2 linked regions of the Medicago truncatula genome follow. The protein of the gene in region 2 binds, or shares a complex with, the protein of the main gene of each other region. Links are inferred from orthologs where the notes say so. Each region holds a gene or a part of one and is shown on either strand. Other genes may lie near its edges.

Region 1 (10,510 bases), on a different chromosome or scaffold from region 2:
TTGCAGATTTTCAGTTCAAAGGAAGAAGGGGACCAACAGAAATCAAAAGGTGATCAAGCCAAGGAGTTGCTGGCAAAATACGGAGGAGCATACTTAGCCACCTCCATTACTCTGTCATTGATCTCTTTCGCTCTTTGTTATGTATTAATCAATGCTGGAGTAGATGTTCAAACTTTGCTTCAGAAGGTGCAATGCTCATACATAACCCAAATGTGGATTGAAGTATAATGAAAACAAAATAACTTCTATGAATTAACACATTATGTCTGTATATCTGCAGGTAGGAATCAGTACTGATGCAACCGGCGAAAAAGTCGGTACCTTTGCTTTGGCATATGCTGCACACAAAGCTGCATCTCCAATTAGGTTTCCACCTACGGTAGCTCTTACCCCAATCGTAGCTGGATGGATTGGAAAGAAAGCTGATAAAGATAAGTAAGCTAATAGTGGTAGCAGCAAATACCAGTGTTTGATTGTAGTATAATTCTACCTGTAATCATACTTTCATCTCCATTGCCAGAGGAATATTATTTCCACCGTCGTGGACATGTAAATCCATATTATTGTCAACAATAGCTAAAGTCATGTTAAATAATAAACAATTTTTATCTACTAATATTGCTATAATTGATTTGAATGGTTGCATCCAACATTTGCACCCCTTTCTAGAATTTATGTAGCTTACTAGTGTCAATGGTGACTCTGATATTGCAACGTGAAGAAAGAGTAACGGGTAGAAAGTAGAAGTTAATAACAAGGGATCAAAGAAACAGAATGACCATAGAATGTCATGAAACTTTTTATTTGATCAGTGCTCTGCCTGAGAGCAAAATTCTACTTCAATTAGCAATCTGAAATGTGTTTTTATTGCCTTTCAAACATACACATCGCGCTAAGTAGTCTAGAATGCCCCACCATTACAATATACAAAGTTGGGTTCGCAAAAGCCACATGTTTTTTCCTCTAGAAGTACAAAGTCACTTGGATTATGTAATTCTAACTGTACAATTAGCCATTTGACTGGCCATTCAGTTCCCCAGGACAAGCTTCTTGATGAAACATTGAGAAAGTATCTTCTAGCAACCTTCAATCCAACCTCGCAGGTCTGGGTGGATGTCATAGGTTCTCAGTTGGAGAAAGAACACAACTTTCTCTTCAGGTTCAAAATAAATCCTTTTGAGGCTTCATCCTACAGTAGGGTTGGATGCAGAAGGCACTTCACCAATATTTGAAGCATGATTTGGGGTTGTAGATTGCTCACGAGCCATACAATATTCTTCTTGAAGTGCTTCGAGTTCATTCCATTCAACTCCAGCTGTAAATATATCAAGGAAATTACAAAAAAAAATTATGGAACTTCCAAACCCCTTCTCTTTTGATGTGTTTGTGTGTGTATATGTGTATGAATAATGAATGAAATGGAGACTAAGGTGTCTAGAGAGAATACGTTCTGTTCTCCACATGTCGGTTATGCTAACATCGGCATCAGATAAAAGCCAATAATCAGCATCACTCTGCAAAAAGATATCACAATTTCAAATTAGCTCCAAGGTTTTTTTTCTTAAATCAGAAACAACGCTAGAACCTTCACAACAAAAAACATGCAATAACTTATATATTTTGAAAGCTAACACCCTTCAGATTTTGGTACTCTGGACATAAGATACACTCTTTCCTAACAATTTGCAAATGCAAAAAACAAATATCCCACAGACTGAGGTGATGCTTACAGCAACATCTGAAGGAACAATCTTCATGATCCCACTCACGAAGTCGTGATTGTTATTAAGATCTGAACTAGGCCCTTCACCATCTTGTCTCTGCACTTCTATTTCCTTCCCTTTATCTTCTGGGACCACGGTTGATTGATCCTTGTTAACTTTGTTAACTTCTGGACTGGGTGGAAATTTGGATGCAACATCAACACCGTTGATCTCCTCAAACTTCTCTTCAAATTGACTACAATGGCAGTGAAAGGGTGAGATCAAGAATGTCAACTTTATAGCATGTTGCAAGCTTCAAGCATCATCGCTTCATATGGCATTGTCATCTGACATGTCATTGCAACAGCTAAATGACCCTTGAAGCAAATGTTAGCAAAACACCCAAAAACATTAAGCATACCTAACAAGGTAAACATCTATTGGGCCCATTGTGCTTCTGAGGACTATCCTGTATCTTCTCTGGGGATAATCAACAGCCTAATAGGAAAAAGGGAATTTGCATTCAGAAAGACAAATCTGTTGATTACTTCTACCAACTTCTCATATCCTCTTAAATTACCTCATCAGGATCAGGTACTTCCAAAGTGGTACCATGTGGAGCTTTAATTGCTATCAAGGTTTCATTCTGGCAATAGGAAAATAGAACCAGTTAAAATCCAAAATAAATTTATATACAAGAAGCAAAGGAAACAGAAACACCACATCAAAATATTCATTGTAATTCATAAATAGGGAAACTAACCTGGAAGCAGGGCAAGTTCTTTATATCTTCCTCAGTGACAAAAAGAAACCTTTTGAGGGTGGAAAGAAAATAAAGAAAAAATACATTAAATAAAATTATGAACATAAAAGTACGGCTAAAAGACCCAAATATGGATTAAGGAAAAATAATATTACTTCTCATTATTTTCATCTTCGCTGAGATTCCGTAGTCTTTCTTGCATCTCCCTGCAATAATAATAAAAATAAACTCTTAATAGACAACAGGCAAAAACTGCAATTATGCAACAAAGAAGAATCAGCAAAGGCAAACATCCAAACCTTATTTGTTCATCCAACCGGCGTTCCTCAATTGTTAAATTTTCAATTTCTGCCTGCATATGAGAAACAAAAACAAATCAAACACCAACATTTATAAGGATTTAATACTACCATCAAATTTATTATATGCCATGAATTATATAAGTCAAAAAGTCTGTAAATTTACTTCAACCAAATAAAAAAGTATGCTTTACAAGCAGTCACACATAAAATGATTTACAGATAAGGTAGCTTCAGCTTGAATAATGGGAAGCTCTTGACAGGAAAACATGAATATCTCACCAGTCTTTCTAACTTTTAAAGAAAATCATCTACATGTGAATTCCAAAGATAAAAATTTAGTCCTTCCTAACCTGTAAACTAGCAAAACTATCATCGGCCTCCCCTGGTTTTGAAACATCCAGCCCCCTGGTCAATCATCAAAGAAATTGGTAAAAGTGTTTCAAAATTTTGGATAAAATTATGACAACAATGACTGATGAATGGAAAGAACTCCCACTTCCACTGAATTCTGTTCTTGAGCTTTTTTTCTATAAGGCCAATTCCTTCAAGAACATTTGTAATATCATATATCCTCCTCTTTTGCACCTGTAGACACAAAAGCTTCATGAAATTCTCAAACATTCCAGTAATGAGCATGTAATCTTTAGACAGGAAGCAAATGTTACCTCTAATGTGTCAGCAGCATTATTTAGATCAAGAATACCATCCTCTGCTTGTTTTATTAAAGCGATGAACTTTTTTGTCAACAGACCTATTTGTTTTTAACAATATGATATAGGTGAGAAAATGTACCCACAATCTTCACTCACCAGTAAAACATTTAAAGAAAGGGTTCATTACAAACCCACTTAACCTATTTTAGCCATTTAACCCCCCCTAAACATTGGTTTAACTTAAAACATTAAATTTTCAATTTAATTTAAATATATGTTTAACATTTTCTCAACTTGCCACCAAATTACATTTAGTTAGGAGGGTAATGTGTAAAGTAAACAATGATCGACATTAAAGTTACCCAAAATCAACATTTTCAACTTAAACCAGAGTTGAGGGAGGTTAAGTGACTGAGCGTCATGAAAAAAAGGTTGGTGGAGGTTGTTTGAAAAGGGAGAAACTACAAGTGTTTAATGTGTAACTTAAACTGTAAAGAATTGAATAACAATAAACCACCGATGATCAACAATCAACTAATCAAAACTGAAAAATTAGGCAATACCTAATGAGCTGTCATATCGACATGGACCAGCAGGGGTGAGATTATTTCCTGAAGGAGAACCTGCCAAATTTATATAAAAAGTATAACTTTTTGGTAGCCAAAATCGATAATTAAAGGAATGATGGTGTATGTTAGTTGATAGAAATCTAGTTGTCAACCAAAATATTGGCTACCCTTATTTTCTTTGAATATATTAGGAAAATGATAAATGTAGAATCCTACTTAACAAAGTTTCGAAAAAAATATTCACCAATATTTGAGCCAGGGGTTTGAGTTCCAGATCTGTTGCATTTTGTCATCCTAGAGGATTTTCCTCCTTTCCCCGCCTTTCCAGATACAGGCGTCTGAACAGAACTATTGGCTGCTGCAGTGGACCCAGGAGTCATCCTATCACCTGAATCAGCTTCAAAATCAGCTGCTTCACTCTTCCGCTTCAATTGCTGAAATGTGTGAATATAATAGTAAGTAACAATAAATAGAAAAGATTATGGATTAGTCTAAGCAGGTGCTCGCGGAGATAAGTTGACTTAAAAAAAAAGATTATATAGAGTAAGTTAGAATAGTAAGAATCGTATTTTCATAAATAATCCATTAATCATAAATCAATGTTGTTAATCTCGGATATTGGTGCAGAGCAATCGATTATACAACTGGGATAGTGCTTGCGAGGGGAAGGGAAAGAGGGGTAGAAAAGGTGAGAACAGAGGTATTTTAGTCTTCACTATGTAGAAAAGGGGGTGTCGGTAGAAAAAAAGGGGGTGTGGACCACCATTAGACTAACTTAAAGCCTAATTTCGGAAACCCTAAATTTAAAATGTTCCCTTCCCGATATTAAAAAATTAGATAGCTCCACATTGCAGTTACTTTTCCTCCTTTCTTGTTTCTACTCGCGTCTTTCTTGTACTCCATTGTTCTATATTTTTCTCTGTCGGTGTTCTTACTGAAAAACACCAGCTCATGGCAAGAAACTTCCAATTTGTGGCCAGAGTGAATGGGTTTGTGCAGTAAGACCCTTGCTTCGGCCGCAATAAGCAATTCCACCATGAAACGCAGCCGCAAACACCATACTCGATTTCCGCTGCATTTGCATTTAGCGTGGCAGCCAAGGCCTCCAGCCGTATCACGAAGCCGCAATTCAATGTAATGAGGCATTTTTAATAGCAACCATAAATATATAGCTTCACATCAATTAGAAGAAAGAAATTTACTTATAATATCTACAAATAACAACACAAGCATAACCCAATACTTTTAACTATGTCAATAGATTTTGCAAAGAATAAGAAAAAGGGAAGCGCCCTACTTGCATTTATGAGAAATGGAAAAGTTATGCACAATTTAGTTTTTTACATGAGCATAGTCTAAGGATGTGCAAGATACCCTCAGAATTCCTTAACGAGTAACATAATGATAGAATAACTCAGTTACGGTCAGTTTCCTAAAAACGTATGTATTTGGCAAACGGCAACACTACTAAGTTGACTAAATGGATTCAATTCAAAAAGGAAAAAGCGAAAGACTACAAAAATAAACTTAAAAACTCACGAAATGTGGTTTCTGAAGCAGAGTTATTTTTTTATCCACATAAAAAAATTTCGACCGAGTATGGTAACCCATTTCCTTTATTTGCCAAATTTCTTACAGAAAATCTTTGCACCAAATAGAAACCTCATTTAAAAACAACCAGGCAAAAGTAAGCTCATAAACTAAATGGGGCTTTTCAGGAGCATTTTAAAGCATCCAATAGACAGATTCATTTCCTTGCAATGTGATCCTTTCCACCTAGAATTGACCAATTATTTTCATTGCAACGTGATTCTTACCGCCTAGAATTGACCAAGTTACAATCACATCCTCTCAAGTTCCTCAATACATTGATCAAGTACTAAACCTAAGGACTAAGGGCCTGTTTGGATTGGCTTATTTGAGCTTACCTACTAGCATAAGTTTTGTGAGACTGTTTGAGAGAACTAATAAAGACAGCTTATGGCTTATTTTTTTTCTATCAAAATAAAGTTTATGTGTATGCTTATAAAAACAGCTTATGTAAGCTTATGCAAAAGTGCTTATATGATAAGCACTTGTGCCATAAGCTGCAAATAAACCATTTATCCAAACAGGCTCTAAAGCTCATATAACAGCACATATTAAAAATAAAAAATAAACACACCCACACACTCTTTTTCTATGAAGCACTGTTGCAAACACCTGACACGACACTAACAGGTCGACACCCGTAATTGAATATAACCACATGTGTTAGTGTCGTGTTGGTGTCTCACACACGTGTCAGACACTAGCATAACTTAGTTTGATTCCTCAAGCACGGAAAAAATTCCTTTTTTTAGTAAAACCTAACTAATATTCAACTCTAAGAACTAATTCAGCAACTAATCCCAACAATTTAATAACTAAATAGAAATTAAACCCTAAAATTCAATAGATCCCTAGTTCTTTAAATCACCTTACAAAAACTAAACTAAAAACCATAAAAAAAATCACAAAAAACGTAAAAAAATAATAATAATAATAAAAAAATAGAAAACTCACAGGAGTTTTAACAACAATAGCTTCAGTTTCTAGGTCTTGATTCCGGCGGTGGTCAGGAGCGAAGCGGTGATAATCAGCGGCGGCGAGAAAGGGAGGTTTCATGGAGGAGAAAGGGAGTTGACGTTGCTGCATGATCTGGTCCGGCGCGGCGGTGGCGGGAGGAGTTCGGGTGCCCGACATCCACCTGCCGGCGATGGAAGGAAATGGGAGGGAAAAGGAAGAGAGATCTATGTGTTTGGAAAGTGGGAAAAAGCGGGAGAGAGAAAGGGAAGAGGGAGAGGGAGAAGAAGATGATGATGGAGGGAATTTGGTTCGGATATTGATGTGGAGGGAAGTGCTTATAAATAAATAATGAGTTCCCAATTCAATATCAATTATTACTATTATTATTTTATTACACTATTTTATTTTATTTTTTTGTGTGTAAACCCTTTTGGTTTTAAAAAAAAAAATCTGATAATAAGTTGCTGGAAAGATAAATAAAGTTTTACAAAAAATTATTCAACTTAAAATTAAGTCACAAGGACTAATTTTAGACAAAATGAGCAGGTTTTAATTGTTTAACACAAGGGTTATAATTTTCTAGACGAAATGATAAACATAACCAAAAGACACACTATGATTGTGAGGTTTCATATTGGAATCAGATGAAAATGTTTGATTTAAAAATATTTGTATTGTTAGTTGAGTTAGATTTTATAAATTAAAACCGATATTTTACTTGTGAAAATATTAGTTAGAATTTTCATGATTATATTTAATGTCGGATAGTATTTTAAATATGATTATTTTAAAGGAGAGAATTTACTAGAAACTGAAAATAAATAAAAAATATTATTTTAAGAAAATCAAATGAAAAAAACAAACTTTTTAATTAGATTTTAATTTTAATATTTTAATACAATATTAACGTAAAAATTTATAACGTTTTTTTACAATAAAAAATGTATTATGTTGACTAGTCAAATGTTATTATATGTATAATTTAAATAGATAATGGAAGTCAAATATTTTCTGTTAGTTTTTTTTTTTGGTAGATAGACGAAATGGCAAAGCCATTATAAACTCACACACACAAGTGGAGGTACCGGGGTTCGAAGCCCGGTCATGACATCCGGCCTAACAATTTCGGCATTTTGCCAGTTGAGTTAGGACTTCTTTCTCTTAGTTAATAGTGTGTGTAAACATTTTATGTGAAGTAAATCCTAGTTTTTTTTAAAATTAATTAAATCCTATTTAGGGAAATTTTATTTTCATTTAATAAATATAAAAACTTGGATCGTGTACCAAAAGGAAAAAGACAATGGAAGAAATTTGGCCGTGTTTTTTTAATAAAACTGCCTCTGTTCGGTTAGGAATCAGCGCGAATCACACCCACGTTTTAACGGTAGTCCCGACTTTATATTCCTCCAGTCCCCAGTGCTACATAACATAACCACCATGTACTCAACTTCATTATTTTTATTTTACTTACTTCAGGGTACAATTTTCGATACAAAGATTTATAATTTAGGGGATATTCTCTAATTTGTGGTAAAGAGAGTTTACTTACCGTCAATGTTCCTTTACTGATGATGATACGTAAGTATGTTTGTTAACGTACGTCAAAAACCTGCTCTTATCTTAGAGCAGCTCCAGCGGTTAGTTATTTTGTGAGATTGTCAGCATGTAATTTGAACTTTTCATCACTTTTTTCATTGGAGACCGTGAGAGTGGCGTGACCATTGCTTGCTGAAGCAACGGTTATTAGTAGAGTATAGTGAATAAACCATAATTAGATAATATGTAAACTATGGTTAGTTACTTAGTTAGGTAGTTAAGAGTTAGTTACGAACTAACTCACTCTATAAATATCTCTCACTATTGTACTCTATGGTTATCTTTTTCAATCTAATTCAATATGAATTACAAGGATTATTCTTTTGTTTCTACCTCTCATGCCTACTTCTCCTATGAACTTCATCTTCATCTCTTTGATCCTATAGTTTCCGATATGGTATCAGAGCAATATTGTTGCACATATAGTGATTCTGAAGAGGATTCTGTTGGTGATGAAGAGGATTCGGTTGGTGATGAAGATCTTGAAGCTTCTGCTGCAGAATCTTCGTGTTCCTCCACTTCGCAAGATTGCTTCATTTTCGGTAGTTTTGGTGATTCAGTTTCCACTTCTGTTTCTTCACCGTGGAATGCTTCGTTTCAGCCAGCAGTTGATGGATTCGCCATCAAGATTGGTGAAATTCCTTGCTTTCTCGCTAATTCACGTTGTTGCACTGAGCGCAACTTTGTGTTTGATGCTTCGGAAGAAAACAAGAATTCACATAGTCTTGATTTGTTGTTTCACGCATTTGCTGAATCTACAAAACTGAACAATCGAAAATTTGTTTTCACCGTTTCTGAAGTAGCGATCAGGAACTCGAAGAGTCTCTTCACCGATTTTGTTCTCTCAAGCTCTGTACCTGTTTACGGCGTTAGTTTCTTCTTCGTCGGAGAACAGGAACATGATGTAATCACACTCAACAACAAGCTTCAATGCTTCTAGTTACATGACGAGGCAATTGTGGATTTCAATCCCGGTGGAAATCTTTGCGGTTTGTTGCCCTCTTTTCTATCAATTTCTTTTTCAATTTCATTTTTCAAGTTCACAAGTTTTGGTATTGATTGACTACAGTGGATACCATGGGACAGAGGGAAGAACCGTCTTTCGTTGTTTTCGTGAAAATCAACACAACCGTCGCATACTTGTTTTCCGGCGAACACTTGCAGGTTCGAAGTATTTTGTTTCACGACATTGATGAATTCTGCTATGGTTGAGAGATTCTGGAATGCACAAATGACAATGAGTTCAATAGCGTAATCGTGTTGTATGAACGCGATTTAGAAAAGCTGATTTGAAAAGTGCGTTTTGCAAAAGCCCGTTTGGGACAAGTTTCTTTTGGGCATGCTGTTTTGGCTCAGTTGTGTATTCAATAAGTTGCTTTGGTTCAATTTCATTTTTAATAATAAGCTGTTTTGGAAAAGGGCTTTGGGCATAATCACGTTTCTGGAAAGCTGGTTGTGAATATTGGAAGGAAGAAGAAGAAAAGTGCAGCTCATAATTCTCAGTATGTGTTCAATTGGACTTGGATCAGGATTTCACATTAGGCTTCACTAGCGTCCAGACGGGCATTCCCGTGCCCGTCTGTCCACTCTTTCTACTGCGCTAACGCATGTAACTCATAAATAGTATGTTTTTCAACATCAATGTTGTTTAGTTTTTCTTGATATATCTTGGAGAAAATTATTAGAATTCAAAGAAATATCATACATTCCCCTCAAAAAGAGAAAGTTCTAATGTGATAAAAAAAATATAAGATAGATAATACATGCACTTCTCTAACATGGAGTTATTTACGATTTACTTAGTTTTGTGATGCATACTCATCTATATAAGAAATATGAATATGCATGAAACATGAGTGAAATTTATGGGAGTGGGTTTCACGAAGACAATAAATCTTTCCTACCGCTAACACAATTTATAAAAACCTTTATTGATTACAGTTTAATCTTTTTGCATTTGACTAATATTCACCCATTCTCCATCTCTCCTATTAAAAAAAAGCTCCCTCTTTACCCAATCTACCTCTCTATTATTGCATTTGTCTAATCATTTTTATCCCTACTATTGAGTTTCCGTTTTAGTACACTTTAATCAAAACCACAAAAAGTTTGAAAAAAAAGTCATTTTGTTGGTTTTTTTTATGTCGTGAATTCAGTTTAATCAAAACCACAAAAAGTATGAAAAAAAGTCATTTTGGTGGTTTTTTTTTAGTGTTTGTAATTTAAAAAGGAAAAGTAAGCCCTCCTCTCATGAATCTTCCATCTAAACACACCATTCTAAAAAAAACATTTCTAAAAACCATAATATGTTGAATCACAATCAATATTTCTCACCAACGAACAAATAAATTTTTTGAAAGATTCTTACACACAAAAA
Region 2 (10,510 bases):
TTGGTTAAGGAAACCAAGTGGTGTGTGTACCCAACTGTGATTTAGGGATAAAGGAGAATATAAAATAGGGAGGGGAGAATGCAATGATTGGTTTTCATACCTTGTGATGGTTATATACCTGATTTATAACTTTGCTTGTGACAATGGTTTTTATTTTATTTTCTCACAGTCGAGTCAAAAACTGATGTTTCTTGCTATAATTTTGAGTCTTGTTAGGCTTGTCAGGTTTAAACTTTTGCTTTTAGGAAATTGTTAACTATGCGATAAATTATCAGGGCATTTTGAAGTATTCATGGTACTGGCAGAGAAGCTCGTTTATTTTTTTATCACAAGACTAATGGTAGGAATAGAATATTATTTAGTGAGAGGCTGCAAGAGTAGCACATAAGCATACATGTAAGTTATGTATGTATGCCCTAACAGTGATGATATTTTGCTGGTTTGCACATTTCATCACGAAGCTGAAAAAACCACTCTTGTTGGAGAGGTTATAAGCCAGTCATAAAGATATTAGAGACGTGTTTTCACTTCAAAGTTCAAACGTGATCCAATTTACTACACTTGGAGCTGAATTGAACAGGTTTATTGTTAGAGTAATGATATTTGATCATCCATTTTTAACAACTTTTGTGACAACACTCTCTCTCATACTCTCATTGTATTTTTATTCTCTCTCTTCCTTTTTCTCTCTCTATTGTTATTGTCCAATAAAAAGAGGAAAAACGTTGTCACTGAAAGTTGTTGAAAATTGATTGTCAAAATATCATTACTCTTATTGTTATTATGGTTGAGTTGAGAGAAATGATATTTGAACAATCATTTTTAACAACTTCGGTGACAACTCTCTCATACTCTCATTATACTTTATTCTCTCTCTTCCTTTTTCTTTCTCTCTATTGCTATTGTCCAATAAGAATGGAGGAAAAAGGTTGTCACCCAAAGTTGTCTAAAATTGGTTGTCAAAATATCATTCCTCATATAGTAAAGTTTTATTAGACGTACATTGTAGATGCTAGTTTAAAAAGTCTTATATAAGTTGACATCTAATAGTACACTTACAGTGCTGATGCTAGTTTCATCAGCCGGGACGGGAACGACTTTGATACAAACACATGGCTAACATGAGAAATAAGAACAAATAAATATAAGTATATGACCATAGGCGGGGGGGTTGGACAGCTCAACTCAACTAGTTTGAGTTAAGGAAAAAAAGTCTTGGAGGTATTGGATCAAACCCGATCATGGAATAAAATATTGATCTAACAAACTAACTACCAACATTTGCTATAAAACTAAAACCTAGGATCTATTCAAAATAAATTAGCTGGTTGATTCATTGTGACTAATCCTAATAATAGCAACAATATTCTGGTTTTTTCTTCTTTCAAAAAAATTATTCTGGTTTTTTCTTATGCTATAATTAGATATACTCTTCATGTTACCCCATTCATCCTTTGCTGTAATCCTCAAAACAGTCATGTATTTGTTGTTTTGAACCCTTGAAGGAAGAGACTCAACAGAAAACATATATTGATTCAAATGGGTGTATGCCCAATTTGCACATGCAGATCCACGATTCCTACTAAATCCCATGTGGATGTGAACAAAAGTGTTTTTAAGTAAAACTCGATGATTCGATCAATTGAGCAGAACTGTCCAAAGCAAAAGTCCAATTCTAATTACATATTTCGGTGAAGAAAAGAACAAAAACCGTCCTGATTTGCCGAGTTTCAATGAATTTTAAGTCATCATACATAAAATAAAATGATCCGAGTCATAAGTCTTAATTAATCTTAATTCAATCTTGTCAACATAAATTAATCTTAACTCAATGATTCAAACAAAAATTCTTCTTAATTCCCCCTTAAAATCCAACTTAATTCAATGGTTGCAACCCGTGTTTTTATATAATTATATTGACCTAAAGAAAATTGCCAAATTTGTTTCCTTTTTACTTTACATACATGATATATATTGGCATTTTGTTTTCTTTCGGTAAATGATCTATTGACAATCTTAGTAAATTAATCTAGTTATTATTATTTGCATTAAAGAAACTAAATATTGCACCTTTAATTAAATTAAAATCCTTCAAAGTTGTTTTTTCAAAGAACCTTCGAAGTTGTTGTGGTTGTTTTTTTTTTTTTTGACAAGAAGTTGTTGTTTCTTTTTTATTTTTATTTTTTATGTTCGATTAAACCTTTAGGAAAAAAAAAATTATGCTATTGTTATTGTCATTGAGATTCTCTTACTTCGACAGTTTTCTTAAAAAATATTTTAATATTTATTTAATGAATTTTCACATATGGGACGTTTTGATCTTCTTTCAAAATAAAAACTTCTTTCTTTAAAGCATAATCTTGTTTTTTTGGGTAACTTGTTTTAATCCTGAGTAAAAATAGATAATACGGCCGTGTTTGTTGTTTCTTGCGTTAGAACTCAAAATAAAATGGGGAAAAGGGAAGTTTAGTAAATTGTAAAATTTTATACGTGCATGACACTTCATATCACAGAGATAATTTATTTTGACAACACATATATACTTTTTTTTGAAACAAACAACACATAGATACTTAAAAATATATATTTAGTTTTAGATTTAATTCGTAAAACACCACAAAAAAAGACGCCACAAAAAGAGATTTAATTTGTAAACACAGGGCAACATAAATATCCGATGCTACATTTTTTAAGTTAGTTTTTAAAACGTCTTTTATAAATATCATTGAGTTAATTGCTATATACTTCATCCGTCCTTCAATAGATGATCTATTTGAAAATATGCACTATTGACCAAACATAATTTGACTATATTTTTCTGCTAATATACAAAGATAAATAATATCATATAAAATATCGTTGAATTCGTCTCGATGAATATTTTCAAAATATCAAATTTTCATATTTTACACATGTATCAAATTTAACAATGTAAAATTATTTTACACATGTATCAAATGATGTCTTACAACGTCAATTAATGAATATGAAAACACACGAGTTCACGTATTCATTAACTTACGCGACAACACATCGTTGAATTCATTGTAGAATATTTATAAACCGACAATGTATATTAATTAAACAAACAATGTATTTAGAATGTTTTGATTTAATGCATATCTAAAAAAGTTTTACGGCAAAAATGTATAAAAATTAATCTTTATAGTTTTTCATGAAAAGATACTTACAAAAATACTATATTTTAAAAATGAGTTACGCAGTGTTTTAAGAACATTGTTTAAGAAACATATAAAAAAAAACATTTTATCTTAGAAATACAAGTCAAACACATGTAAAAGTTATAACTACACAATTTTTAATATAAAAATTATTGTTTTTAAATGCTTAAAAAATATCCTAAAACATTCGTTAGCAAAAACACCACAAAAAAACATTTGTTAGTATTTTCCATTAAGCATTAATGTAAGTAGGTGATATAATGTAAAAATATTAGTAAACTCCAGAAAAAATCTGCTAAAAAAACAAACTTCAGAAAAATATGTGGAGGAAATCTGAAAGAAAGAAAATAAAAAATATGACCGTTGCACTTTTGGAAAAATAAAAACTCAAGGTAAAATGTGAACCTTGACTCCGACGTTTCTCATCACGACCGTTCATTTTAAAAAAGTCAATAATATTGTTTGTGAAAAAAGGAAAAAAGAAAAAAAAAATCAAAAAAGAAAAGAAAAGAAAAAGAGAAAATAGTTTCCGCCCCTTTATGTTTGAGTTTGAATATTGAGAAGACCGTTTCCTTTAACACTTTCTCTCACTAAAACCTCTTCTTATTCTTCTCCCTACTTTGAATGTTGATGTCAAATTCTAGATCTTTCTTCAACATCCATCCATTCGGATTTTCATTTTCACACAGTTTCAATTTCCTCATCTATTTTCTCGAATATCTTCATTTCTGAAGCTCAATCTGGTTGGTGTTTTTTTTTTTGAACAATGGTTGGTGAACGCTTGCATTTTGATTTCGATTTCTTCTTCATGTTTATATTTATGTTTATTCTCCAATCTACAACTCATATTTATGCTTAAATGTAAATTCTATTCCGAGTTTTCAAATTGCTTTAAATTTGAATTCCTTATTTTTTTTCTTCCTTTTTTTGAATTTTTTACTTTAATTGTTTGATTTTGTAAGGATCCAGTCTGTTTAAATTTCTCTATTTCATTCGTAATGCCGCCATGTGTTTGATCCATGTAGCGGATCCCACTTTGTGCGACTTATGTGATTTATTTTTGAAATTTGAATTCAATTTATATTGATTCATATGTTTGTTTGCAGGAATTTTTGCTTGGGTAATTTTACAAGTGTGGATTAGGGATTAGAATGATTTGGAGGACAAATTGTGGAGATAATTGCAGACAAGTCGAAATTCCGGTACACTATGGGAAGTGAGTCGACAATTCCTGCTTTATCAGATGGCGTACAGAAAATTAGAGCATTACATGGGTAAATCTTAAATTCATCTTTTGTTTTACTAACATGCTTGATATGCACTTGTTGCTTTAATCTCAGATACCCCTTTTGGAAGTAAATTTTAGATTCATTGGTATGTTTATGTTTGGAGTTGTTATTTGCTTTCTTTTGATTATGAAATGATTTATTACCAAGACAAAGAAATGAATCCTTATTTTCCCAATTATAGCTTATCGCATCTGTCATTACAATTTTCCTACACCTTTTTTCCTTAAGCTAGTTGAAAAGAGGTCTGCAAGAGTGGTAACATTATACTTGTGACATTTTCCTATCACATTTGTCACATTTTTCTGTCACATTTCTGCTGATTTGATTTGTTCAACCAAAGTCGAATAGATGCACCCGTCCCCTGTACACTCCGACACTTCCAATCGGTGCCACATTGCTGGCTTAACACCTGAGTGTGAAGTTGCACAAGAAAAGCCAAAATGAGGCACTCTCTAAACTTTTTCAACTTCAATGGGGTGTATCCACTTTAATTATTATTCATTAAGGTCACTATACCTGGTCAATCAATGGTGGTAGCTTAGCTACTATAATGAGATTGAGCAGTTGCCAAACAAAATTGAAGATTATGAAAATTTTATATGCAAAAGACAAAAGACATATACTTTATGAGGATTTTAAAACGTTTCGACATTTAAATTTTTTTTTTTATGAAATCTATAACATGTCATTATATATTTATAAGCAGTGAAATGAGTTTACTCATACAATTACGCACGTATTTGCAGGAGGACTACTGGCCCTACAAGGCGATCCACTAAAGGACAATGGACACCCGAGGAGGTGAATTTTTAATACTTTTAACATATTACATCTTTCTAAAGTTTGGTAACATTGCTCCACTGCAACTTCATTTGTCTGTTTTAGGGGAGACACAATAAAATTTTGTATCATGTGAAATTTAGCATCTATAGACTTATTGTGTTAACTTTTTCACTTTCAATCATTATAGTTAATAGTTATTGTGTAGACTTCTTTGAAGATCATAAATGGCTAAATAATGCAATGACTTTTTTTGTATACATGTGCATTTAGAAGCTGTACTTGATTTTTCTTTGAAATTCTTCTATGTAAAAATGTATTATATGATCAAGTGAAATACATGAATTCTGTGTATGCAGGATAATATATTGAGGAAGGCTGTTGAGCGTTTTCAAGGAAAAAATTGGAAAAAAATAGGTAATATTTTCACGACATACTTCTTTTGGCGTATAACTGCATAGTGGAGCATTGGTTGTGTCCAATTCTTCATAAAACTAGACGAGCTTTTTCAGTTGGACCTTTACAGGCTTAACTGAGGAGATTTAAAATGGGAAAAAGAACTGGTGTTTGTTGGGGAATCAATCTATATATTTGTAGTAAACTCAATTTATATTTTTTTGTTGTCTTTACACCTATTCAATATTGTTTTTTGACTTGTTATGATTGTACAATGTGTTTGCAGCGGAGTGTTTCAAGGATAGAACTGATGTACAATGCCTGCATAGGTGGCAAAAAGTCTTAAATCCAGAACTTATCAAAGGTCCTTGGTCCAAAGAGGTAATATCAACTTCTCATTTCTTGCCGGTGTTGATTATATACTTAGCAATTTTGTGTTGGTTCTGACATGATAGCCTATTCTATCCATTTTCTGTTTGGAGATCTGTTATTTACTTACCTATCAATCTGAATGCAAACAGGAAGATGAAACAATTGTTGATTTGGTAAACAAATATGGGCCTAAAAAGTGGTCTACTATAGCACAACATTTACCTGGACGTATCGGTAAGCAATGTCGAGAAAGGTATGGTTATTGGATTTCTAATAGTTAATGTATGTTATGATTAACATACTTTACGTCCAAAAACATTAAATTAGAGTACAATGTATTTAATATTTATTCCGACTACATTTTCTTATTGCCACTTAGTGGGATAAGACTTGGTTGTTGTTGTATTTTTTCCGTATTGCACACACACATATATAAATTAAATTACGCTTGGGGGGTTGTAGTAGTCAATTCTCATTCTCGCTGATAATGATAATTTTTGAAAAATTATTAGGTGGCATAATCATCTTAATCCTTCTATAAACAAAGAAGCATGGACGCAGGAAGAAGAGTTGGCTCTAATACATGCTCATCAGATATATGGGAATAGATGGGCAGAGTTATCAAAGTTTTTGCCTGGAAGGTAAATACACGTTAATTTGGTTTTTGCATTTCATTTAAATAAGGAATGAAGTTGAAAAGTGCATGCAATGCAACCATGCTCTCACTTCATTTTTGGAATCACTGTTTCTTATGTATTTTATGGGCTGATTTCATTAGAGATCTGGATACCCTACAGTACTGGCGTCAGGTAGAAAAAAATATCAATTTTTATCAATAAAAATATCATGCTATCAGAATATGCATGTTTTTCTGGCTGAAATTTAGATTCATTTTTTACTTCTGTTTATTAGTTAGCATTTGAAAATGTGATTTTTCATTTTCTGATGTGGAAACAGGACAGACAATGCTATAAAGAACCACTGGAATAGTTCTGTTAAGAAAAAATTGGATTCCTACTTGGCGTCAGGCTTGCTTGCTCAGTTTCAAAATGTCCCACTTGTTGGAAATCCGAATCAACCTATTGCTTCATCCTCTGCAAGGTTGCAGTTTAGTGTAGATGATAATGGTCCTAGGGGCACAGAAGGTGAGGAAGTTTCACAGTGTAGCCAGGAGTCCATTAATGCTAGTCACTTTCCGTCTGGCAGAGAGTTGAGCATTGCCGTTATACAAAATGTGGAGGAGTACAGGCAAAATGAAGAATCTAATCAAGCATCATGTTCAGAGCCATATTACATGTCTCTGGATGGTGTTACTCTCCAAGAGGTTTGCTCCTCTCAATTTCTTGAGCAAAAATATTCAAACGAACCTGGGAGTTCCTCCGCAAATGTGGACTGCCAATTTAATTTACATGCTTTGCCCACCTCACTGGACTTTGGGCAGGAATCGACGCAGTTGCAAAATGATTCTTTAGCTTCTGGTGAAAACATGATGATTGTTCCATATGAATATCGGCCTTCATCTATGGGCAATGCTAAAGGAGAACAAAACATGTTGATAACTGATGATGAATGTTGCAGATTCCTATTTTCAGAGGCAATGAGCGATGAATGTTTTTCCTCTGGAGGAGTAAATAATGTTGACTTGTCTGGATACACTTCATCTCTTTGTCATTCGTCTTTACCATCTGATAGTAGGATGATAATGTCTACTGCCGAAGCAAATCAGTTGGTCGGCTCTGTGGATCAGCAATTTGACTCGAGGGAAGATGTTGTGAAAGATGATAGTTTAAAATTGGAGCCTGTAAGTAATTCTGGATGTGGATCAGATACGATGCAAACTTGCTATCCAATTGATGAAAAGCCAAATGTGCATACACAACAGGAGGAAACAGGAGGAACTCTATGTTATGAACCGCCCCGTTTTCCAAGCTTGGATATACCTTTCTTGAGCTGTGATCTTATACAATCTGGAGATATGCAGCAAGAATTTAGTCCCTTAGGTATCCGCCAGTTTATGATGTCTTCTATGAACTGTCTGACTCCTTTCAGATTGTGGGACTCACCTTCTCGCATTGATAGTCCGGACGCTTTGTTAAAAAGTGCTGCTAAAACTTTCACAAGTACACCGTCCATAATGAAGAAGAAGAAACGAAACCGAGAAAGAGACCTTTTATCTCCACTATCAGATAGAAGAATGGAGAAGAAACATGAGATTGACATGACGTCAACTTTGATTAGAAACTTTTCCCGTTTGGATGTCATGTTTGATGACAATGAGACTCAAGGTATTGAACATGATAAAGAAAATCGTGGACCAGCTTTTATGGTGGAGGATAAAAGTAACTCTGAGGAGAAGATTGAGCAGCCTCCACTTGATGCTGATTCTAAGATGAAGAATGATATTGATACCACTGCTGAAATTGTAAGTACTACTTTTACTATTCGAGAAACCACCATGATCCTTGTCTCTTAAGAATATTAATAGTTGTAAATACTAACTTGTCACTGTGCTCCAAAATGTTATTATTCTATTGTGGTCGATTGCAGTCCAAATTTTGTAATATTGACTTGTTATTTTTACTGGTCAGGTGCAACAGCCTTCTCGAGTTTTGATTGAACATGATATGAATGATCCATCGCTGTATTCTCCTAATCAAGTTGGTTTGAAATCAGACATAGTTCTAAGTTTAAGTGCTCGAAGTCATCAAAAATCAGTCTCAAGATTTAGCTCTCCTTGTGTTCGATTAAAGGAGCACGAAAGACTCTCAGTTTCTGTTACTTGTGTACAATCCATCTGTTCATCATCAATCCCAGGAGAGAATATGGATGATCAAACCGGAAATGATGATGGTTTTGAAACAAATAACATGTACTATTCCTTAACATGATTTTATTGTTATCTAAATTTTTTTCAAAGTTTTTAATGGATCACATTGTTTCTGAGTAACTTCTCTTTTGGTTTCAGTTTTGGAGGAATGCCTTTTAGGAAAAGCTTTGAATCACCTTCAGCATGGAAATCCCCTTTGTTTATAAACACCTTTTTGTCTAGTCCTAGGATTGATGCTGAAATTACTATCGAGGTACTATATATTCTGTTGATTTAAGTACCGTTCTGAACTATTAGTTTCTTTCTCCTCGATTAAAGAAGTGAGCATGCCTACAGGACTACGGATGTTTCTTTAGCCCGGGTGATAAAAGCAGCTATGATGCACTTGGATGGATTAAGCAGATTGGTGAACACACTGCTGCTCAATATGCCAATGCTCTAGAGGCTTTAGAAAATGAAACTCCTAAGGCACTACCAAATGATGCCTCTGGAGACGACCAGGAAAACAACGATCCTCATAATCAGTCTGGGAACCATTCTAAGTCGCCTTCAAATGCTTCGGTAAATCTGGACTTTATCAATGCTTCGTTTCTGTATTTTTTCAACAAAATTTCAATTTAGTCCTAAACTTGTTAGATTGAGAATAGTTTATATTTATTAGTTCAGAGACTAATTAATAGAAAGTAATCATTGAGGGGTTATTTTTCTAGTTTTGTCTGTTATATATCTAATAGCATAAAGAAATATATTTGTTTTCAGGTGGAGCGACGCATGCTTGACTTCAGCGAATGTGGAACTCCAAACAAAGGTGATAAGGGCAAATCCTCAGCTATGAGTGTTTCAAGTCCTTCTTCGTATTTGTTGAAGGGCTGTAGATAGATAGCTGCCTGTTCATTGTTATGGCTAATGCCCTCAGCTGTTTTGCTCTTTGATGAGTATACTTTATATATATAAAATGCCGTTTATTTATAGAAAAAATTATTTTGTTGTTAAGCTTGTAGTACAAGACTTGAATTTGTAAGTTTGTAACAACAACAACAACAAAAATTATCCCCAAGTTATGATGATTCTTGATTCTCCGGGTATGTTTGGAACGTAAAAAGGTAGAGGAAGATAAGCAGAAGAGGGAAGCGAGGAAATAATAGTTATAGTTATATTTTCTCCTTTGGTGTTGATAGGTGTGGCAAAGCGAGTAGAACCCATGTGTTCGACAGTATAACCCGCTATTTTAAGTGGAACGGATTGATTTTTTGAACTCGGCCATTCAAGTTAGTCCACTGTTTTATCTACCGAAAAAATGGAGCAGCGAATGGAGGATTGGCCAATTTAGAAAAACTGTTTTCCCTGATGCTTTTTAAATTCGAATCGGTGAATCCAGTAGTTGTAGAATTTGTGTAATGCTGAAATAGGGACAAACCTTGCAAAATAAAAAATAGAATGGCTTGAAGTTGCATTTGAGGTACTCAGTTTTCACAACAAAACCTAAATATCTGATTTATTTTATGCAGTTTACGTATTAAGCTTCAAGTTATGGGGCGTTCTGATGCTATAAAATGAACAGTACTCCATATGTAAAATGAAATAGGGAGAATTATTAATTATGTTTGTTTTATTTATTTCAATTTTAAAATCATAATTCTAATTATAAATCTCCCCTTATCAAA

What was found. Proteins that work in one complex are often made in the same cells at the same time.
Region 1: transcription factor MYB3R-1 (region 2) and transcription factor E2FB share a complex: the UniProt entries of both Arabidopsis thaliana proteins name them as parts of the DREAM-like complex. The link is inferred for Medicago truncatula from reciprocal best matches to the Arabidopsis thaliana genes MYB3R-4 and E2F1.

Annotation. Positions count from the first base shown.
Region 1 is NC_053045.1:26,839,745-26,850,254, reverse strand, and holds transcription factor E2FB, read right to left. Parts: upstream 6,863-10,510; 5' UTR 6,715-6,862; coding exon 6,535-6,714; intron 4,425-6,534; coding exon 4,235-4,424; intron 4,045-4,234; coding exon 3,985-4,044; intron 3,520-3,984; coding exon 3,434-3,519; intron 3,354-3,433; coding exon 3,265-3,353; intron 3,174-3,264; coding exon 3,119-3,173; intron 2,819-3,118; coding exon 2,766-2,818; intron 2,673-2,765; coding exon 2,622-2,672; intron 2,516-2,621; coding exon 2,467-2,515; intron 2,350-2,466; coding exon 2,284-2,349; intron 2,202-2,283; coding exon 2,125-2,201; intron 1,960-2,124; coding exon 1,731-1,959; intron 1,515-1,730; coding exon 1,448-1,514; intron 1,316-1,447; coding exon 1,185-1,315; 3' UTR 776-1,184; downstream 1-775. Other genes in the region: uncharacterized protein, read left to right, coding at 7-186, 281-439. UniProt on the Arabidopsis thaliana protein: Transcription activator that binds DNA cooperatively with DP proteins through the E2 recognition site, 5'-TTTC[CG]CGC-3' found in the promoter region of a number of genes whose products are involved in cell cycle regulation or in DNA replication.
Region 2 is NC_053044.1:54,292,000-54,302,509, forward strand, and holds transcription factor MYB3R-1, read left to right. Parts: upstream 1-3,723; 5' UTR 3,724-3,925; exon of another isoform or gene 3,926-3,951; intron 3,952-4,288; 5' UTR 4,289-4,391; coding exon 4,392-4,456; intron 4,457-5,217; coding exon 5,218-5,272; intron 5,273-5,610; coding exon 5,611-5,668; intron 5,669-5,933; coding exon 5,934-6,028; intron 6,029-6,168; coding exon 6,169-6,272; intron 6,273-6,531; coding exon 6,532-6,660; intron 6,661-6,976; coding exon 6,977-8,441; intron 8,442-8,607; coding exon 8,608-8,888; intron 8,889-8,984; coding exon 8,985-9,099; intron 9,100-9,182; coding exon 9,183-9,407; intron 9,408-9,605; coding exon 9,606-9,725; 3' UTR 9,726-9,931; downstream 9,932-10,510. UniProt on the Arabidopsis thaliana protein: Transcription factor that binds 5'-AACGG-3' motifs in gene promoters. Involved in the regulation of cytokinesis, probably via the activation of several G2/M phase-specific genes transcription (e.g. KNOLLE). Required for the maintenance of diploidy.